4 linked regions of the Alligator mississippiensis genome follow. The protein of the gene in region 2 purifies or fractionates together with the protein of the main gene of each other region. This does not show direct contact. Links are inferred from orthologs where the notes say so. Each region holds a gene or a part of one and is shown on either strand. Other genes may lie near its edges. The genes, in order: CEBPB, SMARCA2, BCL7B and DPF2.

What was found.
Region 1: the proteins of SMARCA2 (region 2) and CEBPB purify together in Homo sapiens (affinity purification with western blotting; 5 studies listed by BioGRID and IntAct, with this or other methods). This does not show direct contact. The link is inferred for Alligator mississippiensis from reciprocal best matches to the Homo sapiens genes SMARCA2 and CEBPB.
Region 3: the proteins of SMARCA2 (region 2) and BCL7B purify together in Homo sapiens (affinity purification with mass spectrometry; 3 studies listed by BioGRID, with this or other methods). This does not show direct contact. The link is inferred for Alligator mississippiensis from reciprocal best matches to the Homo sapiens genes SMARCA2 and BCL7B.
Region 4: the proteins of SMARCA2 (region 2) and DPF2 purify together in Homo sapiens (affinity purification with mass spectrometry; 6 studies listed by BioGRID and IntAct, counting the BioPlex papers as one, with this or other methods). This does not show direct contact. The link is inferred for Alligator mississippiensis from reciprocal best matches to the Homo sapiens genes SMARCA2 and DPF2.

Annotation. Positions count from the first base shown.
Region 1 is NC_081832.1:13,203,810-13,210,960, forward strand, and holds CEBPB (CCAAT/enhancer-binding protein beta), read right to left. Parts: upstream 3,048-7,151; 5' UTR 2,899-3,047; coding exon 1,999-2,898; 3' UTR 580-1,998; downstream 1-579. UniProt on the Homo sapiens protein: Important transcription factor regulating the expression of genes involved in immune and inflammatory responses. Also plays a significant role in adipogenesis, as well as in the gluconeogenic pathway, liver regeneration, and hematopoiesis.
Region 2 is NC_081826.1:191,852,796-191,860,617, reverse strand, and holds the start of SMARCA2 (probable global transcription activator SNF2L2), read left to right. Parts: upstream 1-4,706; 5' UTR 4,707-4,809; intron 4,810-5,615; exon of another isoform or gene 5,616-5,712; intron 5,713-6,253; exon of another isoform or gene 6,254-6,802; intron 6,803-7,822. UniProt on the Homo sapiens protein: ATPase involved in transcriptional activation and repression of select genes by chromatin remodeling (alteration of DNA-nucleosome topology).
Region 3 is NC_081837.1:29,540,686-29,548,182, reverse strand, and holds the start of BCL7B (B-cell CLL/lymphoma 7 protein family member B), read left to right. Parts: upstream 1-4,429; 5' UTR 4,430-4,525; coding exon 4,526-4,617; intron 4,618-6,575; coding exon 6,576-6,651; intron 6,652-6,985; coding exon 6,986-7,082; intron 7,083-7,497. Other genes in the region: TBL2 (transducin beta-like protein 2), read left to right, coding at 771-923, 1,518-1,974. UniProt on the Homo sapiens protein: Positive regulator of apoptosis. Plays a role in the Wnt signaling pathway, negatively regulating the expression of Wnt signaling components CTNNB1 and HMGA1.
Region 4 is NC_081838.1:4,099,337-4,106,534, forward strand, and holds the start of DPF2 (zinc finger protein ubi-d4), read left to right. Parts: upstream 1-4,135; 5' UTR 4,136-4,242; coding exon 4,243-4,274; intron 4,275-7,198. UniProt on the Homo sapiens protein: Plays an active role in transcriptional regulation by binding modified histones H3 and H4. Is a negative regulator of myeloid differentiation of hematopoietic progenitor cells. Might also have a role in the development and maturation of lymphoid cells.

The sequences.
Region 1 (7,151 bases), on a different chromosome or scaffold from region 2:
TTTCTCCTTTACCTCGGTACCCCACAGACATATTCCTGACCCATCCTTCCCTCCAGCAAACACGTACATGCACTTTCCAGAGGAGCAGCACTATCAGCACTTTGTTAGAAATATGTTGCAGAATAAAGGCCCAAAAGAAGACTGTAGGGAGAGCTGTTCACATGCATCTCACCTCAGCTGGGTTTTGTGGTAGGTGTCTCAGTGCTGACCCAAAGTTCCCGACATTCAACACAAAAATTCTGTCATCTTCTGGTTTATCCCTGTAAACTACAGGCAGCAGCAATGCCGAGTCACATAACCGAGAAGCAAGAAACCTGCTTTAAAAAAAAAAAACAAAAAACAATCCCCAGAAAACCCCCAGGCAGCAGCAAAATCAAGGTATTAGAGGAAATTCAAGGAGGCAGCAAGGGGGAACTGGCTCAGACTCCCAGGCTCGGCTCTTCACCGGTTCTCTCTTAGTCTTCTGCTGAGTCACGGAGTCAAAAAGAAAAAGTTCTGCTCCTTGCTCTCACCAAGGCAGGCCAGAGCGCGCCGATTCGTTCTGCCTTGACAGTGCCTTGAAAATAAAACAAGCACCTCTTGTTCCTAGCCAGAAAATTTATTAAAATTGTTCATTAATGCTTCGACCGCAGCAAGAAGGCATAGATCCCAAAATATACACACGCTTTCTTATAGAAATAGATTACTCTTTATAATAAAAAAACAAAAAAAAGTAGAAACATCTTTAAACAGATTACTCAATTCATGACTGACAGTTACATGAGATTGCATCATGTCCACAGCATTCCCAGCCATGTTTCAAGGATTGCATCACTCTCTGCTCTCTCTCCCTCTCGCTCCGTTTTAAATAACTCTAGCATTCACCAGCCTGCAGAGATCGTGCATCAGGAAGGGGGGGAAAGGCGGGGGGGGGGGGCAGGAAGGGGGACTTTGGCTGCTGTTGAAACAAAGCAATGGCCCCCAGGAAACACGGTTCCTCCAGCAGGGATGGAGGAGCCCAGGAGCTCCCCCTTTCCCAAGGAAGGCAGAGGCTGGGGTGGGGGGGTTCTCCCGCCAGCAGGTACATACAGACACCAGCAAAGACAGCTCAAGGCTCTCCCCGGGTCTCCCCTGGCCCCAGTCCAGTCTCGGGGGGGGGGGGGGCAAGGAACAAGCAGCCACCCGACCCCTCATACACACACACACATCCCATACAGACATATATACTCCACACACACATCCCTCACACAGACATCCCCCCATATATAAACACACCCCCATACCTACACACACACGCACTCCACACCCCTATACAGTAGACACAGACTCCATACACCCCCCAGACACCCCTCACACACACAGAGATCCATGACATCCCCATGCGCACACACACACATTCAAATAGAAACATGCTATGCCCCATGCACACACACAGTCAGACGGATACAGGACACCCCCATGTGCACACACACACACAGATCCGTGCCATGCCCCATGCACACACAGTCAGACGGATACAGGACACCCCCATGTGCACACACACACACAGATCCGTGCCATGCCCCATGCACACACAGTCAGACGGATACAGGACACCCCCATGTGCACACACACACACAGATCCGTGCCATGCCCCATGCGCACACAGTCAGATGGATACAGGACACCCCCATGTGCACACACACACACAGATCCGTGCCATGCCCCATGCGCACACAGTCAGACGGATACAGGACACCCCCATGTGCACACACACACACACACACACAGATCCATGCCATGCCCCATGCGCACACAGGCAGACGGATACAGGACACCCCCATGTGCACACACACACACACAGATCCATGCCATGCCCCATGCGCACACAGGCAGACGGATACAGGACACCCCCATGTGCACGCGCACACACACACACAAATAGATACAGGCCACCCCATACACATACACACACACACTTGCGCGCCCCCTCCCCGCGGGCGCCCCCGCCCCGCGCCGTGGCCGCGGGGCCCGGGCCGGCTAGCAGTGTCCCGCCGTGGCCAGCAGGGGCTCGGGCAGCTGCTTGAACAAGTTCCTGAGGGTGCTGAGCTCGCGGGAGAGCTGCTCCACCTTCTTCTGCAGCCGCTCGTTCTCGGCCGTCAGTTCCAAGACCTTGTGCTGCGTCTCCAGGTTGCGCTGCTTGGCCTTGTCGCGGCTCTTGCGCACCGCGATGTTGTTGCGCTCCCGCCGCAGCTTGTACTCCTCGCTGTGCTTGTCCACGCTCTTCTTGCCCTTGGCCTTGGCGCCGCCGTAGCCCGCGGCGCCCGCCGGCTTGGCCGCCTCGGCCGGGGTGGGCGTGCCGGGCGGGCTGGACGACGAGGACGTGGAGAGGTTGCCGCTGCTGCCGCTGGGCACGGACTGGTAGCCCAGGTAGGAGCGCGCCGCGCTGCCGTAGGCCGCCGCCATGGCCCCGCCGTCCTCCTTGCGGCCGCCCTTGCACGAGTCCAGCGTCTCGAAGACGGGCGGCTCCGCCTTGGCGGGCTCGAAGCGGCCGGGGCCGTGGCCGTGGCGCGGCAGGCCGAGGTAGGCGTAGTCGCCCTTCTTGGCGCCGCCCTTGTAGTCCTCGGCGAAGAGGTCGGAGAGGAAGTCGGCGCCGCCGCCGCCGCCGCCGCCGGGCTCGAAGCCGCCCCCCGCGGACGGAGCGGGCGCGGGTGCGGGCGCGGGGCCGGGCGGCGGCTCCAGGTAGGGGCTGAAGTCGATGGCCCGCTCGTGCTCGCCCACGCCCGCGCCCAGCTCGCTCATGGGGCGGCCGCGCGGGTGCAGCTTGCTGAGCGCCGCCAGGCAGTCCGCCTCGTAGTACAGGTTGGCCACGTCCATGGGCTTAAAGGCGGGTGGCTGGAGCGGGAGGCATGCCGCGTCCCAGGCCACCAGGCGTTGCATGAACGCGAACGGCGGGCGCAGCTCCGCAGCCTGCTCCGGAGCCTGCTGGGGACGCGCTGCGCTGCGCTGCGCTGCCCGCCGCTCACTGCCCGCGGCTCCTCCTGCCGCCGCCGCCGCCCCGCGCTCGGACCATCCGGCCGCGGCCCGCGCCCCACGGCTCTGACTTGGGAAACTTTCTTCGCGCGGGGATTTATAGGCGCGGCGCTGCCATGGCAACAGCCACGTCATGGCTGGCGGCGAGCCGCGCGCTCCGCTCCGCTCCGCTCCGCTCCCGGCCCCGCAGCGCACCGCGCCGCACCGCGCCGCGCTCAGCGCCCGGGCGCGGCCAGCCCCTGTCCCGGCGGGCAGGTGCGGACCGTCCGGCCGGGCAAAGGGAGGGAGACCCCGTGGCTGCGGGGACGGGACCCCGGGCACGCACACAGGCACATGCATACACCCGTACACGTGTGTATGCCCACACATATAGACACCCATACACACACACATAAACCCGTACACACAGGCACACACACACACCCGTACACACACATACATGTGTGCCCACACACATACACACACACACACACACACACCCTTACACACAGGCATGTGCACACACACACGTACACACACATACACATGTGCATGCACACACATACATGCACACATACAGACATCCTTAGACACATATGTACACCCGTACACACAGGCATGCACACACCCCCATATACACACATACACATACATGCACCCTTACACACATATGTACACCCGTACACACACATGCACATGCATGCACACACACACACACACACACCCCCATACATATGCCCTTACACATACTCATATGTCTACACACACATACCCATACACAGTTTCATAGTTGTTAGGGGCTGGAAGGGACCTTACAGATCATCGGGTCCAGCCGCCCTGTGCTTGGGCAGGAAAGACTGCTGGGGTCATCTGTATTACTGCAAAGGAGAAAACCCACCATATACACACCTGTACACACATACATGCACAGACACACATTGACATGTGTACACATGCACACACAGACATATTCACCCATACACACATACATGCACACACACACACAGGCACATACACACACACACCCCCATGGCCCATGAGACACAGAAGCTGCCCTTGTGCCAGGAGAAGCTGGATCCTTTGAATGTGACAGTGTTTGAAAGCACCGCTTATGTGTGCCCTCCAAGTACTGCCCAACGTTGGGTGAGTATCCTTCTCCCCATTTTAGATTTGGGGGGGGGGGGGGGAACTGAGGCAGGGCCTGGGGAAATCAGGACACAGAGCAAGCGATTGATCCAGGGTCACTCATCAAGTCTGGGGCAGAGCCACACACGGAAACTAGATCTTCTTATTCCCAGACCAGTTCCCAGCTCAGTCTGTCACCCTGACAGGCAAAGCTGCTCCGTGCAGACATGCTCGTGACTGGTTATGACAACGAGCAAAAAGGTTATTGCTGTGGAGTCAGAGCAGGGAAGGCCCCGCCACAAAAGCCACCTCTGAACTGGAAGCATCTAGAGTGTCAGGCAAATCCCAAACTGCCCTCCCCACCTCTGTGCGGGAACTGTGGCCTCAGAGTTTGGCCTGGCGTGTTTACCTTGAAGGGTATGTTGCAACTGTCAGGGTACACAGGAGATACAGAGCTGGGCTTTGGAACAGCAATCTGCAACCAGAATGACTGGGGAAAAGGCAACGTACATACACAAAGCCATGGGATACGCTCTTTCGTTCAGCAGGATCGACCCAGAGGAGCCATAGCGAGTTGGAGAAGTGAGAATGAAACTCGATTCCGATTTTAATTAAAGACACCCTTCTTGGGAATCCAACTTATATTTTCCTTCTTTTACTCCCACATTTACCTGTTTACAAGCTGGTGATTCATGCCCAAAATAAAAGACATCAATTTAAAACAAAACATATAATTAAAGGAAGTAGGAGTGTCCTTTGCCTCAGCAAAGAAGACCCAGCACTGCAGGGAAAATGACACTGCCTCTTAGTCTACTGTGAAGCAATCCTGCGGTGTGGGAAATATTGTAACGTTAAGCCAGAGGAACAGGTATTGCATTATACGATTCAAACAGTCAACTGTTCACGAATGTTCCAACCTCCGGACTTCAAAAAGAGGAAGGATTCGAAAATCGGACTTTCTTTTTTTCCTTTCGTTCTTTTGCTCGTTCTTTCGTTCTTTCTTTCTGTTTCATCTGGTCTTGTAAACTGATTTTCTTCCAGAGTAAAGTACGCTGACAGGTTCGGAGACTTCACATATTTCCTACTGCACATCTCTGTCATTCAGCTAATGTTTGGGAACTGTGCATTTCATAAAAAGGGCGTTGAGTTGTGTGGCTGGGTCTGGATATTGTAGCGAGGGGACATCCATCTACAAATATAAACTCTCCACAGGATGCAGATTCTGGCAAGTTGTGGTGAGCTGTTCACATTTATCCTCCTGATTCCTGACCTGACAGCTATAGCCAATTGCTGCCGTACATGGTACAGTAGCTGAACACATCACAATCCACTTTGTTCATTATCCATTTCTAAAATGTCCCCCTTTGCAGGCACCCCTGGAGCACTTCTGGTCTATCTTGGTATTACATTTGCTAGGTCTCTGATTTACCGTAACCATTTGATAAAACTAGTTGCCAGTAAAAATCAGCTTGGTGAGCCTGTTGGATCTACCTGGGAAGTCTAACGCTCCCCTGCTTGGACACCTGCCTCCCTCTCCACTGCTTGGCAGCAGCTTGCTGTGTTCTAGTCTGGGCCTGCTTGTCCCTCACGAGGTTGATCCATGTGTAGCTCTGTGAGACCTCCATATCAAGCTGTGTGCAAGCCATGCCTTCTCCCTAGCTATCAGTGCTAAGTGGTATTGTTTGTGCTAGAAACATTTTAACCACAATGGTGATGAAGGTCAGAAGCTCACCTGATGCCCTGCTGCATCTTTTTCATCCCCTACACCAAGTTTTGGCACACTGATTTTTCAGTAGCATGGCAGAGACTCTCTCTTGCTGGCAGAGACTAAACACTTTGTCAAAAGCCTTACTGTTCAATGGCCCAGGTTTTGACCTGTGTTATCTGCACTGGTCAGTGCTAATATGGTGACTTCAAGTAGGGTGGGGGATGATCTAAACTATAGATATGGCCAGATGGAGACTTTGATTCATGCTATAGTCCCAGCCTGCTAAGTTTTGTCTGGAGAATGTCACGTCGTAGCTTGGCTAGATGTGCACAATAAGCCTCCTAAAGAGCCTTTGCTCTGGAAACCTGCTCTTTGCACATGTTGAGACACAGACATTCCTCCTACTGAAGAGCTGGGCGCTAGCCCTTGCTCCAAGAAGAAGTGGAGAGAAACAGCACTTCTTACCAGGGCTGCACAAAAAGTTTTCTGTCCAAACATTTTCTGCAAGCAATCAGGTTTCTCACTCCATGGCTTTGGTGGGAGAGGCCTGCTTTCCTGGAAAATGTTTCTGATTTTTCATTGGGAGATCAAGAGCATTCAGTTTGGCGGCCAAAAGTATTTCTTTTTATTCAAAAAAGAAATTAGTTTCTCAGTAAGAAGACAGAAGTTCCCTGGAGAGAAACCCAGTTTTCTGGCCAGCTCTTGCTTCTGACTCAATAAACTACAAATGTTTATGGCTTCACTTGACTATAGATGCAGACGCTGGAGGGTGAAACAAGGATAATCTAAAAGGGAAAAGGTGAAGAGAACAGCATGTCCTGATCTGCTGAACAGAGCTCACTCCTACTTTACCACCAGGCCTTGGATCCTGCTCCCTAAGCTGCTGCAGGACAGGAACACCTGGACTCCCGGTGCATTCTCTTCCCTGGATCAGACCTCTGCTAAAACCTTGCTGAAGTTCCCCTCCTCAGAGGCTCGCTCTGTACCTTTTTGAGTGGTTCAGGATCTCTAGTTCTGCATTTCTAGTTCTCCCAGTCTGACCCATGAGTTCATGTCAGCTTTGGGCAGAGGATGTTTGTATGATGCCAACAGATCAAAGAGCAGAATATTTGCCAGCTGGGATTAAACTAACTATTCTCTTGAGAGGTAAGATGGAGTCTGGCTAAATATCACAAACACTTCTCATTGCAAGCTGTCAATGTTTATTATTTATCCTTTGAATTGCAGTAGTGCTTGAAGGTCTCAGCTAGACCAGGGTCCCATTGCATTAGGCAGTGTTCAAACTGATAGAAACAATCTGTCCCAAAAAGCTGCAGACTAAAAAACAAACATAACTGAATGAACCAAG
Region 2 (7,822 bases):
TGATATAACTACATCTGTCAGGGTTATGAACAGTTGTGATCACTGACCAGGATGCCTGTGTTGACAGATGCCTGTAATACTGGTTATATTGATAAAACTGAACTTTCCCCAGTAGAGTTTCGGAGGTTTATCTACTGTACTAGTAAGGGAGCATCCAGATATTCAGGCACATGTGGTTTGTGGTGCCACAAGCCTCTTTGCGGCACCACAAAGGACACTCCCAGAACATTAAAACGTGTTCTGTGCTGCAAATTTGCAGTGTGAGGGCAAACTTTCTTACTGGGGAACTCCAGTGGCAAAAACAAATTCTGGGGAAAAAAGCAGTGCAGCGCAAGCATCCATAGCGTGTGCTGGAACACACGGAGGGCTGGCCATCTAGAGCAATGTTCTGGCTGCCAGTCAGGCTCCATGTTGTCAGATCTGCACCCTTGCTGCACCAGGACACCAGGTAATACTGCTAGGGCCAGCACAGGTGCTAGCCCTGTCCTCTCCTACCCCTACCTGGGACAATTTGCTGTGTGCTGAAGCACATGTATAGGGGCATGCGATGAAGCACAATGCAGCAGCACAAATTTCTGCCACTGCTACTTGTGCTGCTGGAACCGCGTGCCCCTGCATGTGGGGACATGCCCATAGAGTTCAATTTTGCTGGTATAGTTGGGTCTATGCTAGGATTTGACAAGTTTACTAAACTGGTATTCTTATATTTGTAAAATTCTCTTAGAGTCTTAGGCCAGGTCAAAAGTAAAAAGCTTTGTTGATGTAATCATTTCCATTCAGAAATGTGAATAGACTGCAACCTTTAGCTGACGTAGCTATGCTGGCAAACCCCTTGGCATTGACACAGATGTACTGACAGAAGAGGACTTCTGCTACCTCAGCTTACATTGTTTGGAGAGGTGGTGCAGCTATTATGGCAGAGAAATAACTACAATGGGCTGATGCTTCTGTCTTTGCTAGGGGGCTCTGTCAACAAAGCTACTTTGGCATAAATATAATAGCAAAGGCTTTATAGTGTAGACAAGCTCTTAGATATGCAGTACAATTCCCAGGTGGGAATGGCCTTATTCTGAATATCTACACAAGAGCACTGCGTCAATTATACTTCTTTGTTTCTGCCAACAGAAGTTTTGGGAGCAGGCAACAGTTACCAAATTGCCAGAGTAAGTCCAAATCCAGGCACTTCTAGCAGCTCCTGACAGTAAAATGTGCTTTAATCTACCAAGTAAACCACAAGGGACACTTGGCAGAGTGTTGGAGGTAAAGTTATATATATTTATATTTTTGCAAAAAACAAAAAGACAGTTGTGTTACTGTTGGTGGTGTGCAAAGTGTCCCTGGGATGAGACTGCTGTTCCAGAAGTGGGTACAGGAGCACTTACAAGTATTGTCTTGATTCTGGTAGCAGAAACATTAGTCTCTTTGGACTGCTTGGTTGTCTAACTGCAGACAGAAAGGTGGATGCTGCTGCAAAGGCCCCTGGAATATGTACGCATTGTAAATGTAGGGATGTAAATGCAGCGTAGACATGGTCTGAGATGGAAACTTTCATATCACTGTAGCTTCTGGTTCATGTAGACAAATTTCAATTCTTTCTACAGTACATGAGGCATCCTGAAGCATTCATTCACTTAGGTGACCTTAACATTTTCCCCTTGGAGGAAATGGACAAGAGATGAATCAGTTTAAGAGTAATTTACCCTTTTAATCTGTAATGGGTGATTCTGTGCATGCAATTAATCCAAAGCAATAAACTCTGGAGTAGTTTACGCTGGAGTCAAATAGTCCTGGGTGCAGAGTCTACACATGTGCCTGGGACAGCAGCCATTTGAGCCAGGGTGGAGCCAGGGTGGCACAGTTTATGCCAGAGCTGCAAGGGAATGTCTCTCATTCCCTTTGAATCTCACTGTCACACATTTGCATTTTCACAGAGCTGCATTTTGCATATTAGCTTCTATTCTATCCAGGAGAGCACACACACCAACAAACTCTCCCTATGCCTGAAGAAGGGTATTTGTGCCTGAAAGCTTGCAAAAAACAATTTTTCCAACTATTTAGTTCGTCTAATAAAAGATCTCACATCTATTCAAAAAACCTTGTCTGCCTATGTCTTTAGATCAACATGGCTACAACCAACAACCTAAAGTCCATAGGCTGACTTCTTGAATGATTTCATCAACTTCAGTCCAGTTTTCTTTGCCAACAGACTATGTCTGCAGTAACATAAAAGATAGACTCCATCCCCTTGATACCAGGCTATAGAGAGATTAAATTATACTTTATCAAAGTCCAACAGGAAAAAAAAAGCCTTCAGCTTGACTTTACTTTAACAATATATCCATTCAACATCTTGGAGTTCTCATAGCCTCAAACAAAATCTGCTGCTGTATGTTTTCCAGCAAACAAAAAGTAATCAGCGCAGTTACCCCTAACATCAATTGAACACTTTATTTTGCCTGAAAGATTAATTTAATATTCTTTGCCCTCGCTGTATCCTTTCTACTGAAAGCAACGGCCATTTGGTTTGATTTCTGCTGAGTTCAAGGCCAATGCAGGTGAGCTGCCTTGCATACAAGCTTCCCCTTAGGTAAGGCTTGTTTTCTCCTCTGCAGAGATAAAGGGCAGAAGGCCTGCAGATTTGCTGTGGAAAAAAAGAAGTGGCTTGTATAATGGAGGGATGATGTTTAAGGAAGGAAAAATACCCTGCATTGGTGCTCTGCTGCTTCTCACAAGCATGTTAATTACATTCTTTTATCTCTAAAATGCTGGATTGTAAATCATAGCCATAGACACAAAGCTAAGATTGAGATGCCCTATTCTAAGTAGATTAAAAAAAAGTTACAAGCACCCTTTGCTATTGGGTATTTGATCATCTGCTTTTTTTTTCTCCTTACAGACTCACAGTTTCCCATTTGCATTCAGCTCTATCATTTCATTGATTTTGCTCCCCAGTATGTCTTTCTTATAGATACAGTTGAACCACATGACAATACCTGCTTCCTCTTTTGAAGAACAACTTTTTTATTGGCTACTTGGGGTTGTACAGTCTTAATACTGATTCTCTTTGGTGCAGTTATCTTTTATCATTTTGATGCTCACTTTAAAATAACTAGGAAGCTCAAGTTAATGATCAAGTAATAAGATCCTGGAAAAACTACAGAATCAGTGATAATTAGCATTGTACACCCAGCATTATAATTGGGCCATTACAAATCCTAATGCTACCAGCAAAAGACCAGACATGTAAACAATACCTGTCACTTAATGACCATATGGAGCATTCAGCGCTCCCGGCATTGCTTCAGGTCCTTAACTACTCCAGTTGGTCGCTAAGATCAGTAAAAAGAAACTGCATTTCAAACACCATTGCTCAAATATATAGTGAGTGATTTTAATATTAGAATTTCTCTTAACGTGAAATTTTACTCTAGGGCAGCAAATAAAATCCAAAACAAAATTTTCACGCTGCACTCAGAATGACTGATTCAAGATTCAAGCCCATTACATTTACATAAAGAGGAACAGAATCAAGTAGGGTTGGGTTTTAATTTTCAATCAAGTGACTGTGTTATTCAGACTGTACAATAACAGGCCTACCAAACTTAGAGATCTTTTACAACACTGTTTATTAAACCATCCCTTCTGTAGGTCTTTTTTAGATCTTCATTAAACCTACAGCTCAGGTCAGTGGACTGCGACTGCACAATGCTGGGCTTGTCCACTGGCAAGGCTGGAAGCAGATATATTGGAAATTCTCAGGGGGAAAAGCATAGAGAGACTGTGGAATGAAGAAAATGACACTACTGACATGTCCTGACCCTAAAAAACAGATCTACCCCTCACTTAACACAGACACAGCCTTTTTGGTCACGCAAGTGACATGTGACGACTAGGTTCGTTGGGGGCTCCAGCTCAGACACAAAACAACCAGGTCTTCTGAAGGAATATTCTGTAAGTAATAGCCAGCTGGGCTCCTGGAGAGGCATCTTCCTTCAGGGGCACTCAGGAAGTTGAAAGCCCAGCTGACTGGCAGATACATCCAGCTGGAATGTTCTCTGATGCCTTCCCCCCCCCAGCTTTTCCCACAAAAGGAAGATCTAAGTGGACTTGAATAAAAAAGTTTCTGCTTGTGTGACAATAATGTCCTTCTTTTTCTTCTCTGCCCCCCAACATAAACACCAGGTACAACCAGCTGCCTCCAGTACCAGTCAGCTCGCTCCTCCCCATCCTCTCCTCCCCCTCCATCCCTGCAGGCTCGCCCTGGCAGGCACAGTTACATTCCAGCACCTTCCTCACCTTCCCCCCAAAGTACTATTATTACTATTACTACTCCACCATCCATCTCTCTCTCTCTCTCTCTCTCTGGCGTGTCTCTCCGCACAGCCCACGCACCCCCCAGCGCGCCCAGGAGCATGTAAAGGGGTAGGGGTCAGCAGGCTGTGCCCCCCACACTCCCTGCACCCCGTCCCCGGTATGTGTGTGTATATGTACGTGTGTACATGTATATGTGTGTGTGTATCTCCCTCCACATTCTTCCACATCCCCTCCACAGGCAGCTGCTTGAGTGACACCCCCCAGCGCCAATCCGCTGCCCCCCCAGTTGCGGGGGGCGGGCCCGCGTGGCGCGGCCCGCCCAATGGCTGCACGCGGCCGGAGGGGCGCGGGGGCGGAGCCCGGGGGAAAGGAGGGGACGGCTGTCATCAATGAAGTCATATTCATAATCTCGTCCCCGGCGCGCGGGCGCTGCACTCGGGAGGCTCGCGCACACGGAGCGGGGACCCCGGCGGCGCCGCGCGGCTTCCGGGCCAGGTAAATAGGGGCTCGGCGCGCCCCGCGGCCGGCTCGGCACCGCCTTGCACCCCCCGGCCCGGCCCCCAGCCCCGGCCCCCCTCCGATCTCCCCTCCCCAGGCAGCAGCAGCGGCAGGAGGAGGAAGAAAGTTTGAGCTGCGATATCTTTTTGCAATAAGGACCTGGAAGAAGGACCCCCCTTCCCCTCCCGTCCTCTCCTCTCCTTCCCCCGCCCGGTCCTTTGCTGCCTGCCTCCCCCGGGTTCCTGCCTCGTGAGTCAGGCGATGCAGGAGGCGACAGTGCCTGCAGCTCGGGCTCCGGGGACACAAATGGACAGCGGGAAGCTGCAGCCCGGGGCCGAGGGGGGCCGGCTTGTCTCCTTTCTCCCCGCCCTCACCTTGCAACCCCGGGGGGCTCTGCCGGGGGTGGGAGGGAGGGGGAGGTTGCCTCCTGCTGGGGCTGAAGTTCCCCGCGCCCTGCTCCGGGGCAGCAGGAGGGGCCCGTGCGGAGTGGGCTCCTGCCCATGCCCGGTGTTTGGACAGACGTGCTGGGGAGGGGGGGCGCGGGAGAGGAGCAGCAGCGAGCCGCTGAGCAAAGGAGGCCATGAGCAGGATAATCTCCTGCTTGACTGTCACCAACATGACACGCGCAGGGGAAGGGGGGGCAGGACTTGGGGAGGGGGGTGCTGCAGCCCCTCCTGTTGCCTCCTCCCATCTCGGCCGGGCTGTTGTGAATTGCCGGCGGTGCCCTCCGCCGGGGACTGGAAGGTGTCGCGATTCACTTCCTAAAATAGCTCCTCTCCCTCCAGCCCTGCTCGCTGCTGCTCCCCCCCCGGCCTTGCAGCAGTGGTACCAAACAAGCGCTGGCGAGATGCCCCCCCCGGCTTTCAAAGCCACCGGCCCCCCCCCGGCATTTTATTTCCGGTAGGCACAGAAAATGTCAGTCATTTTGTTTTCTGGGGGGGAAGGGGGTGGCGCTTTTCTCTTCCTGCTGGCACGGATCCGGGGCTGGGGAGCTGGGCGGGAGGTGCCCCAAGTGGGAGGGGGCTTTGGAGGTGGGGGGCAGAAAAAGTTTTTGGGTGGCTGATGAAGTGCAAAGAGAGAGAGAGAGGGAGGGGAAATGGAGGGGGAGTGGGGATTTAAGCCTCTGTTGCTTTTGGTGGCTGGGGCTTTGGAGGGACACAGAGAGAGGTTTTGTGTGTGTGTGTGTGCGCGTGTGTGCGTGCACGGTGTGGAGCAGCATTGACAGAGACTCAGGAAGTCACAGCACAGGTTTAGGGTGGTTTTGAGGGTTGTGTGTGAGAGAGAGGTGGCTGGGAGGCCTGGTGTGTGTGAGAGGGGTTGTGTGTGTATGTCTGTGGGGGGGTTGTGTGTGTGTAGCAGCAGCAGAGAATCAAAGTCACAGCAGAGGTTTGGGGGTGTGTGAGAGGTTTGGGGGTGGTTGGGAGGACTGGTGTGTGTGTGTGTGTGTGTGTGTGTGTGTAGCAGACGCAGAAAATCAGGAAGTCACAGCAGAGGTTTGGGATGGTTTGGAGGGGTTGTGTGCGTGTGCCAGAGGGGGTGGTGTGTGGTGTGTGAGTGAATGTAGCAGCAGCAGCAGCAGAGAATCAGGAAGTCGCAGCAGAGGTTTGGGGTGGTTGTGAGGGTTGTATGTGTGTAAAAGAGGTGGCTGGGAGGGCTGGTGTGTGTGTGCGGGGTTGTGTGTATGTGTGTGTAGCAGCAGAGAATCAGGCAGTCGCAGCAGAGGTTTGGGGTGGCTGTGAGGGTGCGTGTGTGTGTAGCGGCAGCAGAGAATCAGGAAGTCCCAGCAGGCAGAGACAGGCGCTCACACACGCACACAGGCGCGCACAGACATGTTTGATCAGTATGACACGATGACGGAGGGAAGCCGCGCAGCGGAGAGCCGGGCCTAGCTGTGCCGGGGGCCGGGCTGCCCCCTCCCGCCCGACCCTGCTGCCCGCTCCCCCCCGCGCGGGCGGGAGCGCTCCGGGCCGAAGGTCGGGGCCGGGGGAAGGTAAAGCCCCGGAGCGGGCCCGGGGGAGCTCCGCTGCCATGGCGCGGGCTGGAGGTGGAGGTGGGAAGGGGGGCGGGGAGCGGGGCTGGCGCTGCTCGGAGCCCGTCGATCGGCGCTCAAACTTTCCAGAAAGGCAGGGGGAGCTGGGGGACGTGGCCGGGCTCCGGGTGCCTGCACTGCATGTCGCTCGGGGCCGCGGGATCCGTGCGCTCCAGCGGCAAAGTTGAGGCCTATGCATTTCCCCAGCGTCCCGGAAGAGTCACTGGAGGGGGAGCCGGAGGGGGGGGGAGGTGTTGGGAAGGCCAAAAATATATACAAAAAAAAAGCAAAAAAGCTGGCAATTGAATGGAGCCAAGCGGAGGGGGGCGGCGGGAGGGGGGACGGGACTATCTCCCAATCTGGGATCGGAGTAGAGATCTCCAGGGGGCTGAAGTTAGTGTGCCTGCAAGACATATGGCCCTGCCTCCCCCTCCACCACGTTGCATTATCTCCTTGCTGGAGGAGCCTTCTCTGGGGCCCTGGCTCTGTGTGTGTGTGTGTGTGTGTGTGTGTGTGTACATTGTGTGTATACACATGTAGTGATGTGTGTGTATATGTGTGTGTGTAGTGTGGTATGTTGTATGGGTGTGGGGTGTGTGTGGTGTGGTGTGTACGTGTGGTATGTGAGTATACGTGTGTATGTGTATACATGTGTGTATGTGTGTGGTGTGTGTGTATGTATAGCATCTTCATTTTCTTTTCCTCCACAGGGATTGTGATAGTATGAGTATGTGTATGTATGTATCTATAGTGTCTTCATTTTCTTTTCCTCCAACAGGTTTGTGATTGTATGTGTGTGTGCATGTATGTATGTGTGTACATACAGTGTCTTCATTTTCTTCCCCCCAACAGGACTGTGATAGTGTGAGAGCAGCCAGTCCAAACCAGCCAGGGGGTTCCTGACCCAGGAGGGTTTTTTTGCTGCAGTGTGCATGTGCTTTGGAGAAGCATAAAAAAAAAAAAAAAAAAAAAAGTCTTGTG
Region 3 (7,497 bases), on a different chromosome or scaffold from region 2:
TGGTTAGTTAGAAAGATATTTGGGAACCTTGAGAGCAGCAGTATCTAGCATATTAGGGGTCTTCTCACCTTCACCATCAGCACCTGTTCACTGACTTGTGCCTCAGCAATACTGTTGCCCCAGTTTACTGCCCTTTGGAAGGCACACATGATGGGCACTGGCACTGCATCCAGGCTCATGTAGCAACCAAAAGAGCAAAGCAGATGTCTTTGAACTTTTGAGTCCAGGTTAATTGTAACTGCAGTAGATGAGAACAAGCTTTTCCTAGCAAGTAATGCACCTTTAGCAAAGATAAGTCTGTAACAGTCTTTCACTGACATGTCACAGCAGTGATGTTGTATGAACTTACCCTGTCTCAGGGCATTTGGGAATGTGAACTCTAGGTGTCTGGGTGTCCCTTGCTGGTCTCAAAGCATACCATGCCCTGGGTATCCTTTGTGGAGCAGTCTTCTTACAGTCTCCTGTCCCATACTGACTTCCTGGAGTGCCATACACCTGTCACTGTGTAAATGGTGACAAACGGTACTTATTTCCCTAGCGAGAACCCAGGATGTTAACTCAGATCTCTTGATAGGGTCAGCCAGCATCTTGAGCTCTTGCAATACCCACATCTGCTTGGGTTCCCCCACCTGACTACCTTTAATCTCCCCAGCGTGTTCAAAGAACAGTCAGACAAATAAGGGAGCAACAGCAGTGCATCCTGTCCCCAGTGAAGCACTCTGCCTGGTCTAGCATCATTTGACTGATGTCCTGTTTGGGCTTTCTTCCAGGTTTGTGGCATCCTGTGGCTTCACCCCTGATGTGAAGGTCTGGGAAGTGTGCTTTGGCAAGAGTGGAGACTTCCGAGAAGTGGTCAGGGCTTTTGAGTTGAAAGGCCATAGTGCTGGCGTGTACTCTTTCTCATTCTCTAATGACTCCAGACGGTAAGATGCCCTTTAGCTGCCCTAGATCATGTCCTGTCTAGTATAATCTTCCCTGTGACTGGTTGGGTGATCTCTTCCAGCATAAAGGAGTAATAAGTCAGTAGAGATTCCTTCCTCAGCACTGCAAGTCTCTAAGCACCATGTGCTGAATCGCTCCATCCTGACTGATAAGAAAGTTAGGAAAAGTAGGGGCTGGAAGAGACCTCAGGAGGTCATATTTAGTCCAACTCCCAGCTGAAGGTAGGATCATCCCTTACTAAACCATCCCTGTCAAATGTCTGTCTAGTCTGCTCATCTGTGACAGCATGTTGGCATTGATGAGACTGCTTGCCAAGCCAAGGAAGGTTTCCACCTTCTTACTCCCCAGTTCAGATTTCCCTCTTGCTGGTGCATGGTTGTTCTCCCCCACCTTCAATACAACATTTCCCTGGGTACCAGAGTTAGCAGGTCACCAGTCAAGCCATCATGGCATGCAGTATCCAGGAGAATGGCTCCTCTTTCCTGGTAGGGTCTGCAGTTTGCAGGGGCTGGAGAAGGGGGAACGGTATTGTGTTGCTCCTTGCACCTGACGTGGACATGTCTCTTTTGCTGTAGGATGGCAACAGTTTCAAAAGATGGCACATGGAAGCTGTGGGACACTGACATAGAGTATAAGAAGCAACAAGATCCTTATCTGCTGCTGACAGGGAAATGTGAGGTGTCTGAGCCTTGTCATATTGCCTTGTCCCCCGATGCCCGGGTAATGGCCATCTCTTGTGGCACTAATATCATTATGTACAACACCCGAAGGGGAGAGGAGGAGGAGCGCTTTCTCAACGTCCACGGAGAGTACATCACGGACTTGGCCTTTGATATTAACAGTCGTTACTTGGTGTCGTGTGGAGACAGGGCCATTCGGGTGTTCCACAACACAGCAGGCTACCGGGCTGTGATGGAGGAAATGAAAGGGATGCTGAAAAAAGCTACTAATATGGCCACCAGAGAGAGACTGCAGCAGCAGATCACAGATGCTCAGAGTGCACTGGACAGTATTTCAGCCAAGAAGGACTAACCTCAGTCTACTGGGATCAGTGTATGTGCAACCTCTCTGAGGTGGGGAGCTTTGCACTTTGCATTTATTGGGATTTTAATACTGAATTGAGTGCTAATAAAAATGTACAGACTGCTCAACCCGTTGGGGTTCCCTTGTGTATTTCTAAACAGAGTTGGAGAGCTGGAAAGCTGAGTGGCAGAGGTGGAGATGGTTTAAAGAGGCCATATGATGGGAAGTAGCTGCCTAGGGAAGATTGAAGGGGAGGAAGCCTGTAATTACCCTAAAACTTCATTGATCCTGAGCTATGTTATGAGGTTCCAGACCAAATGGGAGGGTAGTTCTTGTGTGAGGTAGTTAGAGCACAGATGATGAATGCCTTTTAAGGAGCTGTGAAATGGCTTTGCGGGGGTGAAGCGCATCTAGGGAGAGAGAGAGATTTTTCTGGGCTTGCTCCAAACTTTGGAACTCCTCACAGTTGCTAAAAATCTAAGTTATTGGCCTGGAATGTAGCAAAAGCTTGCTGGCATGCTAAAAATGCGAAACAGCAGTGAGCAGTAAACCTAACATTTAGTTTGAGATGGCAGACTGCCTGAATTTGGACTACAAAAAAACAGTTCTTAATGCTTACTGGGGTTGTGTAACTCGCCTCTGGGAAAGTGATTCAACATCTTTGGCAACAGAATTATTTTTTCCTTCTAAATGTTAATACTAGAACTATAAATGAGATTCCTTTGGGGCTGAGTGTAGTCTTCTGTATCTTGTTACTGGTCATGCTGCATCTTGAGATGCAGCAGCAGATTACTTTGGTGACAGGACACAGAGAGGACAGTATATTACTAAAATACTAGCAGGATGAACAGGGAAGTGTCTCATAAGGGATCTCTGTTCCGTTCCTTATGTGCAAACCAGAACATTTTACTCCCACTTACAGTGATGGCAGAACAGTTCTACTGGGCAGGTCCTGCCATCTGCACTTGCAGCTAAAAGCTAATGGATATTTTAAAATATCCTGGTTTTGAAACAGAGGTAGTAAAGTAGCCTGGGATTCTGCAGTACAATAGTGTTTCTGTACAGAGGTGTGTAGTATACATCAGCCAATAGGGCCTAGGCACTTGGTGTTGAAAACAAATACTTTCTGTGGGTTGTGTGCCCCTATTAAATGTCAGGGTGACTGAGCCCTGTGGTGCACAGTTCATGCTGGGATCCTGTGTGGGATGGAATTCTAGTTTTAAGGTTAGGTTTTAATGAGCCCTGAAACCTGACACGAGTGTGTTTTGGGAGACACTAAAACTAAAGTTCTGCTGCCATAGACAAATATATCACTAATAGGATCCTAGGCTGGATATGACCTAATGCAGGGGTGGCCAACCTATGGTCTGTGTGCCACAAGTGATGTGGACAACCTCTATAGGGCACGCAGCACTTGAAGGGAGGGTAGATGAAGAGCAGAGCACCAGAGGGTCCAGAGGGGCGGACTGGACTGGTGCTTGGAGGGGGTGGGACTATTGTGGCATGACTGTCACAAGGCTGCCCCACCCCCTGAACTTAGGGTTGACCCCTCTTCCTTTCCTATTAATATTTTGCAGTGTGTCAAATCTCCCCCAATACCATGTGATGCAAGTGCTCTGTGCTGCTGTGCACAATGTGGTGGCGCTATTAATGACCGATTTGCTGACTTCAGAGAGTATCTGAAACATGGCTCTGAACATTGTTGTTGATGCAGCCCAGCCGTAAAGGTGAAATGTTACTGTAAAAGGGTAGTCAAGAAACCCTGATTTAAGTTGCATACTTTAATCTTGTATTCGGATTATTTATCCATATCTGTATTTTGATTCTCAGTTCTTACTTTTTTATTACATAAAAAATGCCATGGATTCTGCCAATGTCCAATTTCCTTCTTATTTTAATGATTTGTCACCCTCCATTAAAATTGTTAAATATGGACGAAGGCAGCAAATTAAGACGGTTTTATGACTGGGATAGTGGAATACGTGTTTTGCCCTTAATCGCTGTGGACCATTATTCTCCAACTGCCCCCGTGGGGCCTTCGCAGCAGGAAGGGAGAGGGGCGGCCTCTGCAATTGCAGTCCAGCAAGACCCCCCAGCGCCGCGGACCAGTGCGGTGGGGCTCTGCCCGTCGGATCAGGACCTGGAGGCCGGGCTCGGGCCAGGAGCGGGCCCCACACGCCACGGTCTGGACACGTGGCCCCAGCGAGCAGCAGCCAGCGCCGCCGCCGCTTCCTCACGACCCAGGGAAGCTCTGCCGGGATTGAGACCCGGCGGGGCGGGGCGGGGCAGCGGTGCCGCGCATGCGTGCTTGGGGGCGGGGACTCGAGGATCGCTGCGCAACATGGCAGCGCCCCCGCCCTGGCGCCGCTCCCCGCACGCGCGTCAGTCAGGCGCCGGCTGCGCCGCGCAGGCGCACTGCGTCACCCCGCTCTTCCCTCCCCTCGGGCGCAGCGGGCGCGCTGACGTATTACGCATAGGGCGTGGATAGGGCGGGTCGCGCGCATGCGCCGGGAGCGGCGGCGGGTGCTGCGGAGCCGAGGCTGCCGGGGCTGCGGGCGCCATGTCGGGCCGCTCGGTGCGAGCCGAGACCCGCAGCCGCGCCAAGGATGACATCAAAAAAGTGATGGCGGCCATCGAGCGCGTCCGCAAATGGTGAGAGGCGGGGCCGGGGGGGCGGGGCCTCGAGGCAAGCGACCAATCACTGTGCCATGCGGGCTTCGGCGGAGGCCCTCCAGTGAAGAACACCCAATCAGAGAGCTGTGCCGGCCGGTGGGTGGGATTAAATGGGGAGCGCCCAATCGCTGCTACCTGCGGCTTGCGGAAGGTGAGGACAGGAAGGGTGGCCAGATTGGCAGGTGCCGGAACCAATCGTCGTCCAACCCACGCGGTGAGGGCGTGGCTTTAGAGACGTTTGTGGATTGGCACTTTCCCAGGCCAATCGCAGCTGAGGGCGGGGGAGGGGGGGGTCTATTGTTACCATGGGGCAGGAGGAACCCGCCCACCTCTACCCCGCGTCTGCCCGCGGTGGGGGCGGGGCCGGGCCGGGCTCCGGGGTCGGTGGAGGGGGGGAGGTGTCGCCGGGTCGTTGGTGCTGCTCAGCGGGACTCGGGGGCGCTGCGGAAGCGAGGGCAGCAGGAGTAACTCCTGCGGGGTGGAGCCGCCGCCGCCCCCCTCCGCCCCGGCCTGGGGCCGCACAAGATGGCGCTCCCGGGCGGCCCCCGGCCCCTGCCCGAGCGGGGGAGGCACTCGGGCCCCAGGCAGTGGCTGGAGCCGCCTCCCAGTGGCAGGTCACCTCTGCCCTGGTGCGGAGCTCCAGCCCCTTCCTCTGGGCTCTCTTGCTGCAGCCGCAGCAGGTTCCCTGGGCTCCGCTTCGCTTCCTGACGGGCCCCGAGCGCCTGCTCCGAGCTGCTCCCCGCGCTGCGCTTGTACAGGGAACTTGCCAATCCGTGAGCTCGGGACTAGCCACCGCGCGCGGCGCCTCCCCGAGCTGGGTGAGAAACCCGGTTAGCACATGGAGAGCCCACACGCGTGCTGCTACTCGCTGCCTTGCTGAGCATTTTGGGGACATCCTGGTTATTGGTTACAGATTATCCCACAATCCCAAACAGCAAGGATGAGAAACGGTGTGAACGGTCCCGATCCGCAGCAGCCAAAACCTCGAGCTTCTTCCCTGCTGGTAGTTGTTATAACGCAGCGATTGATACAGGAACCCGCCCCGCATTGAACACGGGAGGGCAGCATGAATATTGAATTTAACGTCCAATTATGTAACGAGGACTCTTGTGGTATTTCAGGGGGACCTACAGTGCTCCGACAAAAACCATCCTTGCCCCCGCAGCACTGATTATATTGCAATTAACTGTCATGCTGCTGTAAAAGAGAATAGTTGCATCTTTCTGACAGGTGAAGAGGTCTGACCCCTAGCGGGCATAGTCTGTGGAGGGGAAAGCCCATGTGATCGTCAGTGCTGCCTTTAAGGGCTGGAGGCAGAATTTGTTTCAAAACCAAAAGCTTAGATTGCAGGACATGAGATGCAGCAGCTGGCTCACTGACCCCTGCAAACCCTCCCTGCCCATTGCCTGCCCTTCTCCCTAGTTAGACACCACTCCCCTACTCGTGTTGGGGAGGGTCTAGTTTCTCACCCTGCTAGCCAGCCCCAGGGACAGAGTGCAGGTCTGATTACATCCCCCCCCCCCCCACCCGGGCCCTGATGATAGGAATACATTAATGTAAAAGCTAGTATAAAGAGAAGCTGCCAGTATCCTCTCATCTGACTGGGCAGAGAATGTAAGAAGTGAGACAGGGTTTGAATAGCCCTGATCCTAGCCGAGTGTTTACATAGCCGTATGGAAGTCCATGGGGGCACTGCAGGCAGGCTCTGCTTTACTGGTAGGACTGTCAGTTTTACTCTTTTTCTGAAACTTCCTTGGTAAGTTTATGGAAAAGCAGCAGTATAGGCATGATCCTGAACTTCCTGGTAACTGGATTACCTTTCTGAGGGGGAGGAACATGGCTGTGTACTAAGCAACCCCTTAAATGCTTCACTGACTGTGTGGCTGCCAGAGGTTGCTTGTTCCGTCAGTTTTAATCTTTTTCCTGGCCTGTGGTAGGGAGAAGAAGTGGGTGACAGTTGGAGACACTTCTCTCCGGATATTCAAGTGGGTGCCTGTAGCAGACAGTAAGGAGGTAAGTGCTGAGCCTATGTAAGGAGAGAGCTTAAAGGTTTCCACACTGTGGCTGGGGAAGAACATGCCTGAACAGTGTGTAGTTGGCAGGGGTTCCTTATGGCTGTTATGAGCTAGTCTTCATCACTGTGCTTATGGCCTGGGTTGGTACATTGAAGTGATGAATGAATTGAACTGGCAAGTGCTACTGCCAGGGCTAGAGGAGAGAGAGAAGGCAGCTGTGTCCTTAGGGAGGGCAGCTTCCTCTGAAGCTTTGGTTCATGTCTCTCCCTTGTACCTGTTGACAGTAAACTCCTTTAACCTCAGGGGTTTTTTTCTCTCTTTCTCCCTTCAAGAAAGAGAAATCCAAATCAAGTAGCAACGCGGCACGTGAATCCAATGGCTTCCCAGCTGACACCTCTGCCAACTCCTCCCTCCTCCTGGAGTTTCAGGGTGAGTCTGCTCAGCCTCATCCCATTACTTTGCTAGTGTGCTGGTAGGCAGGGAAAGGGCACTTCCACCACTCACACTGAAAGGGACTTCCAGGAGCTAAAGGGTTGCTAGATTCTGCGTATTGTACATCTCTGTGGGAGCAGTGTGAATTTCTACAAGGCATGTTGATTTAACACATTAGGCTTCTAGGATTATCTATGGTGAAGCTTTTAATTACTGGCGTCTGATGGAAAAGCAATAAAATGAGTAATTATAGCTGTGGTTTTCCCTTTCTTTTCCAGCAAGAGGCATCATAGGGAATGTTTTGGATAATTGGAGGGATGGAGAGCTCCCTACATCCCCTTTCCTATCTGTGCTTCATTTTTCTGCAATGACTGAGGTTCTGCCAGCAGAACCTGTTCTGGAACTCTCCTTA
Region 4 (7,198 bases), on a different chromosome or scaffold from region 2:
GGACTCAATGAGGGGGGGACTGCAGATTCTTTTCAATTCCACTTCTAATGAGGATGCCTTGGTTAGCGAAGCTGACAAATGTATCTTCCCGACTCTTGGATGAAGGGTGTTATAATGGTTGCAACATGGAGGGACCTCCAGGGTTCCAATCATGACTGTGGTATTGACTCACCATGTAACTTCATACGTAGGAGGCAAGCTAGCTGGCTGGAAGACAAATTCTTAGCGAGGGGGAGTAAAAACAGAGATGCCAAGAGGCCACGTAGAAAAAAAAAGAAAAAAAAAATTGCAGGGAGCATGCAGATGGAGGAAAGAAAGAAATGGGGAAATGCATTTTGTCAGCTGGGCATTCAAAGCAGATGAAGTGTGGCACTGAATGCAAGTATTGTGCTTCTGACTTTGTTCGTAAAGGAAACAGCGTTCCATTCAGGCAGGACAATGAGGGGTGCAGACATCCCTGCCCAGGTTTCTGCAGCGTGGAAGTCACAGGCCTCTTCTGCGCTGGATATTTGCCCCTGCTCCTACTGCAAAACATTACTTTTGGCAGGCAAGCTACTATATATACACCAGTGTTGTTAAATCCAGCTGTGGAAAGTGCAGAGGTGCACACTGTGCTTACAGTGATTTAGTCTGTCTACCCTGGGGCTAGGGACAGAAATTACACAAACTGGTATAAGCAATTGGAAACCGGTTCAAATCTGTAACACAACAGAAGTTCAGTGCCCATAAACCACTTTCAAAATGGCTGAAACCAGTATAAGATAAACCTGGATGGATATAGTATCAGACTTAACTAATTTAATTCGGTTTATTGAACTTCTGTCCCAGATCCCCTCCAGATTCAAGCCATCTGCTCCAGCAGACCAGGGAGGCGTGCTCTGGCGCCCCTCACCCCCACCCAGCTTCTGGCTTGGGCCACTGCAGGCACATGGCTGCATTTCTGGAATCAAAAGTGAATGTCTGTTCACTTGTTAATCGGTTCAATTTACACAGTTTAGACTAATCCGTGGAGATTGAATTGATTCAGCCTTGGGCTTTTTGATTGTCTGTACTTAGCCTGGAGGTTTGCGCTAGAACAACTACCCCACTGCTTATCACCATTGGCTGAAGTTCCCAAAGCCATTTGTACCATGTGGCAATCTAGTGGGTGTGAAGCAGAGCTGCCTGGGAACAAGGAACTACTTGCAGTGTGGCTGCCTGGGGAAAAGGGATGACTTAGCCAAATAGCTCAAGGCCAAATAGTTTCTGCACTTCCTGAGCCTGGTGCTTTCATATGCCTTCTTAACCCCACTGTGGAAAAATGAAAGAGCAGCCAATCCGTTTCGGGAAAATAAAGCAAATTCAACAACTTCACTTTAGCCATCCTGGCTGGCAATGAGAAAGCAGAGAAAGGCTGTCCCGCCAAACTCGCACCTCCGACACAGGAACAGCACAGGGGTTGGCCATGGCACCCCCTTCCGATCGCAAGCTGAAATGGCATTGCAGAGACCCTTCCATTAGACTCCAACTGCAAAATTAATTACTGGGGAGCTGGGAAGGGGAAAGTTGAAACAAAGAGCTAAATTGTGTATTGGAAGGGCAGGGGTGAGGGAAGGAACCTACGATCAGTAATGGAATTTAAGGGAAAAAAAAAAAAAAAGGCAGGGCAAATATGTGGTTGTTCTCATCTTTCCTAGTGAGCAAGCCAAGGAAGTGTCACAATGAGGCCGGGTGCAGCTGTGCTGCAGAAAACATGCTCGCAATAAGGCAATATACTTTCACTCACAGAAATGTTACCCCATAGAGAGTGAGAACTTTGGCCCAAAGCTGCCCGTGTAGTTACTTACTCTGTTCAAGATCCAATTATGACCCTTGGGCCCACAGCAGTTGAGCACATCAGAAGCATTCATAGGTTGTTATCCTTCCAACACCCACCCCTTGGAGATTGGGAATGATTTACCCAACATGTTTAGAGATGGGTATTACAAGCCTGGGACGTTACTATGCAGTAAGATGGGTGTGAATGTATGGTGCACTAGCTACTCCGCACTAGCCCCACATGTAGATGCTCTTAATGTGCATTCAGTGAGACTCTGCAGGGGCTGCTTACTTCACTTTGAAAATAGATTATACCTCCTCAGTCTTAGTCTGCAAGAGTTAATGAGGAATACCATATTTTCCTCACATACAACATGCACCATGCCTCCAAAAGAGATGTTGGAAATTTCAGTGCAATTTATATACAAGAAATAAGGTAAGAAGAGTTTCTGCCTTACCAGGCAAAAGTGAAAGTCAGATGTGCATACTACTTACAGGCAACAGAAGAGAGAGCAGGTTCAGCTCTTTTGCTGCTGCTACCGAGTTACTTACTACAAGAAACGTTTGGTTTTGTTCTTTAGCCTGCCTTTCAAAAAACAAGATGTGAATTTTATTCTAGGCTGGGTTGTATGTGAGCAAACATGGCAGACGGCGTGGTTTAAGTTCACACTCCAAGTAGAGCAGCCCTAAGCAGCTCACCCAAGGAATGTATCACTAAGCTAGAAATTGAACCATGCCATTAAAGTCTAGGCCAGAACCTCATCTACTTAACCATGTGTTTTGTCCTTAAATACTCACATTTTAGTATTTTCCCATTTATTTCCCTTCCCCACTACCTTCTTTTTCTGTTCTGCTGCTTTGAGGACCAGCCTGCGGCTGCTTACCTTCCAAATACAGGAGCAAAACTTTCCCAGCGTCAAACCTGAATAATTTATCACTGTCCAAACGCAGGCGAGTCAACAGCTCCGAATATATTTTTCCATGACTCTGTTAGGGTGTGGGCTGTCCCTCCGGCCTCCCGGGGGGACAGCAGTCCTGCATTCGTAACCCATGCAATGGACTGGAGGGCAGAGCACTCAATCTATGCACGCGCTGTTGAGGAGAACAAGAGTCTCATTTCTTGAGGACACAACTTACCTCTGGGTCTGGATCCAACACACTTACATCAGCGTAAACTGCTTTTATGCTGGGGTGAACAAGGAAGAGACGCAGTGTAAGCCTTTGTGCCAGCGTGCTTACCGGGGTTTGGGGAAAAGCAGCAGGAAAGAGACACCAGTGTAGCTTGGTGCGTGTCCATGCTTTTCCTGGATTACCCATTTGTTCATGACTACTGCATGTTCTCTTACTACCCGGTGGAAAGGCAGCATAATAGTTGCCTATTGTTGCAGGAAGCCCAAGGCAACTGCTTGTCTGTCCACTGTGGATCGCTGTATGATTTTTTGTCGGTGTAGACGAATTATACCAGTGTTAACGCGCCGTCTCTTCTGTTTGCCCAAGACTCCCTTTACTGCTGCTCCTCGAGTCAAAGCCCAACAAGCTTTTTCCTATTAGTTATCCCTTGGCGTGCACATGCCATCCAAAACGCCATTCATTTCAGCATTCTTACCTTGTTTGCCTTGCATGAAGCAACATGTAACCACCTGCCTTCCAGTAGAGACCCCGGCACCAATCCTCTGCACGTCCAGGGCAGGTGTCGCAAGGGCAGCTTTCTGGACCCTTCATGCCCTCAGCCCGCTCTGTCCCTTTATGGAGGACTGCTGGTCCCGTGGCAGCAGCAATCGGCCTGTCTCACACCAGTGACCTGCATGGCAAAAGGGACTGGGCTGTTGGGAGTCCCGTTGGGATCAGTCCCTCCTTTCAACTATCTGCCTACCCCCCCCCCCATCACGCATCATCCTTCCCACCTAGTCTCGGTGCTTCTCCTTCCAGTCTATCCTCCTCCCTCCATCTTTCCAGTCTTCCCCCTCATCCCTCCATTTTCTCTCATTCCCTCCATTCTTTTTAAATGCTCTTGTCATTCCCCCCATTTTCCCCCTTCCCCTCAATCACGTCTCTATCCTTCCCTCCCTCACACCCTTTTTCCCGCCTTTTTAACCCCATTCCCTCTCGCGCATGCGCCCCAGAACAGCCCCAACCCCGCCCAACGGGTTGCGCATGCGCAGTACCACACCATCGAGGGCGAGCGCGCGCGCTCTGGGCATGTGCATTGCCGAGGGCCAGGCAGAGGCGGGTGAGCCTCGGCGCATGCGCCATGATGACCCAGCACTAGAGTAGAGGGGGCGCCTGATTCTCAGTTGGCGCACGCGTACTTATTAATCAAGAGTGGGACGGGAGGAGGCCTCTGCGCGTGCGCAATAGGAGGATGGTTTCTCCCCGTTCCTCGCTGCCTTGCTGCTCTCGGCGCATGCGCGCGGGGCGGCCCACGGCCCAGGCGGCAGAGGCAAGATGGCGGCGGTGGTACAGAACGTCGTGAAGCTGTGAGTGGTTTCGCCCCCCACCTCCTTTCACCCCCCCCGGTGGGGGCAGTGGTGCAGCCCGGGCCTCAGCCGCGCAAATGGAACGGGGGGACCCCCGGGCGAGACCAAGTCGCCGGAAAGGGGAGGGACGGAGCCGCGCTCCCTCTCCGGGGCTTTCATTGTTCGGCGCAAAGTTTCGCAGCCCGGGTTCTAGTTTGGGGGGAGGACCTGCCCCCCCCCAGCCCGGCAATGCGTGGGAACGGGGGGCTCTTTCCCCCCCAGGCTTACTTGGTAGCGCCCGTGGAGGGGGGATGGGACCCCCGTGGAGTTGTGGGGGGCAGTAGGGGCCCTGTAGGGAAGGGGGGCCTCTGGGGGAGGTGGGGATGGGGCTGGGGGGCACTTCTTAGGGGGTTTTTGGGGTGGGGGGTTAGGACGGGGTGTGGGGGGGTAGGAGGGGACGTGGGGGAGGGGGTGTTTTGGGTGGAGGTTAGGAGGGGACGTGGGGGAGGGGGTCTCTAGAGGGGAAGAGGCCCCCCCATAGGGGGTCTTGGGTGGCGGGGAGGCAGGAGGGACTCTGTGGGGGAGCAGGGGGAAGGGGAGCCCCCCAGAGGGTCTTTGTGGGGGTCTTAGGGGTGGAGAGGGGGGAAGCTTCTCTCCTGCTGGGCCCTTGGAGTTGGTGGGGGGGTGTCAGATCCTCTCCCCAAGGTCCCTGAGTGGGGGCAGGAAGCTGAGAGGGGAAGGTTTTGAGCCCCCTGCATAGGGGGCCTTATGGAGGGAGAGGGGTGAAGCCCCCTCCCATCAAGTTCCTTTGGGTGGATAGGGAAGAACATCCCTGGTCCCTGGGGGCAGCTCCGCAGGGATCCTTGGGGTGGAAGGAAAGACAAGGACCCCAAGGGGGGGAAAGGGGCCCCGCGGCATGGGGGACGAGGGAGGAAGAGATCACCCTGCTGTGAAGGGGTGGGGGGGAGCTCCAGTGCTGTTCTCACAATCTGGGCTTGCAAAATCATGGTGAATCAGCCAGAATCTGCCCTGAAGATGCGCAGGTTGGAACTGATGAGTGTTTGGGGACGGGGTGGGTTAGGATGGCATAGGGGTGTGGGATTGGATGGGGAGGGGCAGGGATGCATGGGACCCAAGCTCAGTCCCCTCCCTTCATAACGTCTCCAGCTTTGTCCTTTCTCCAGTGCGTCCTAAGGATGCCTGTAACATGGAAAGTCTGGCTGAATCCGCACTGGGAGCAGTACTTGGGACACGGGGGTAACTCCTGGAGGTTAATCGATGGCCGTGCTTCTGCTAGAATTCATCCTTTTCAGCCAAGCTTCTGCTTTCTCTTGTGAAAAGAGAGTTTCTTCCCCTTACAGTGCACCAAACAGCAGGAATTCTTAAAAAAAAAAAAAAAAATGCCTTGGGACAAGGCTGCGCTAGGCGCTGTATGTGCTCCCCTAAGGCCGAGATGCCCAGCTGTGGTACGGGGCTAATGATACTTACCTGTCTTGTCTATACAGTGAGTTACTCCGGGCAGCGGCTGGTTTTCACTGGGGGACTGGGCAGTGCCTCGCAGGGTTAAACAGTGCCTGTCATGACAGGCCCCAGTCTCAGCCTGAGGGTTTGTAGCACAGTCCCAGTCTGCAAACTGGGCTCATGGAACTTGTAGTCCACAGGGGGGAAAAACCATTCTGCAGTCCCAGCCTGGATAGAGACTGGAGCTTGGACTCGGTTATCTCAAACCTCTCTCTTCCTTCACAGGAGGTTTGTGAAGATAAAATGCATTAAAGATCCTAAGGGTCCTTGGGTTCTGCAGTGGGCAGTCGCTGCCCTACAGTATGCGCTCTGGCCCCAAATCTATACTGCAGCATCCCCCAGCAAGAGTATATCTACCCCCCCCAATCAGTGACTAACCTTTTGTACATTGCTGGGTTGTCAGGATGCTCAAAAAGCCAGTGAAATAGAAAGTATTGCATTATCCACTTGGTCACATGAGGGTGGAATGTATTTATTTTTCATGAAAAGGGTGGCTGTTTGCTTTTTGGAGCAGAAAGTTGTGAATGTCTCTTTGCGGTGAGGATAGCTGAAATGCTGAGGAGCTGCCGCCCAGTCTTAAAAAGACAGCATTGGTCTCCTGATTGTGGCTTAGTGTGTTTTAACGGTCCCAAGGCACGTTATCTCTGTGCAAACCTTTCAGGAAGCCTTTATGTCAAGGCACGAGTTTGCCTCGCTTTGTTTCCATCGCTGGAAAAATTGCGACTCTCTTGCTGTCATTGAAAAACAGGCAGGAATTTTATAAAGGGGTTTCACGGGGCGCTCTTTCCATTCCTTGTCCCCCCTCACCACCACCACCCAAGTATCCTGTCCATTTCCTTTCCCCACAATTAATTGTAATAACTTCCAGCACAAAACTCTTTTCTGAGATTCTTGCCAATGGGGGTGGAAGTAATTGTATTAGCTGAAGCCATCCATAAAATGGGGTTTTGAGCGTAATTTCTCTGGTTAGTGCCAGCTAGATAACTTCTGCTTGTGGTGTTAGCTAAGATTGGAAACAGGCCGCTATGTAAAATTGTCCTCAGATGCAATGCAGTCCCAGCTTTGAAAATCTTCATATCCAAATGGACAAAGGAAGATGGGAGAGTATTTTTAGGGGGCAGGGGGGAGGATGGGGAAATTATGACACTGGAAACCAGACCTCCTGTCTTGTCTCACTGTGGTTCTTAATTCATGACCCCTGCTGTGTCTCAAGCAGTATTTGTAAAACCTTTTAAGGAAACATTTTTTGTGGAGCAGGAGTCAGATCTTGCCCTCAAGCCGACCAGTGGGTGATTCTGTTAAAATCTGTGGAGCCGCACTGTGTATAATTGAAGGCAGAATATGTTCCTCTGTATGCTTTCTCAAAGTGTTTGGCAAGGGAAATATTACAAGATAAGATAATTTTTAAAAGGGGGTGCTGGAAA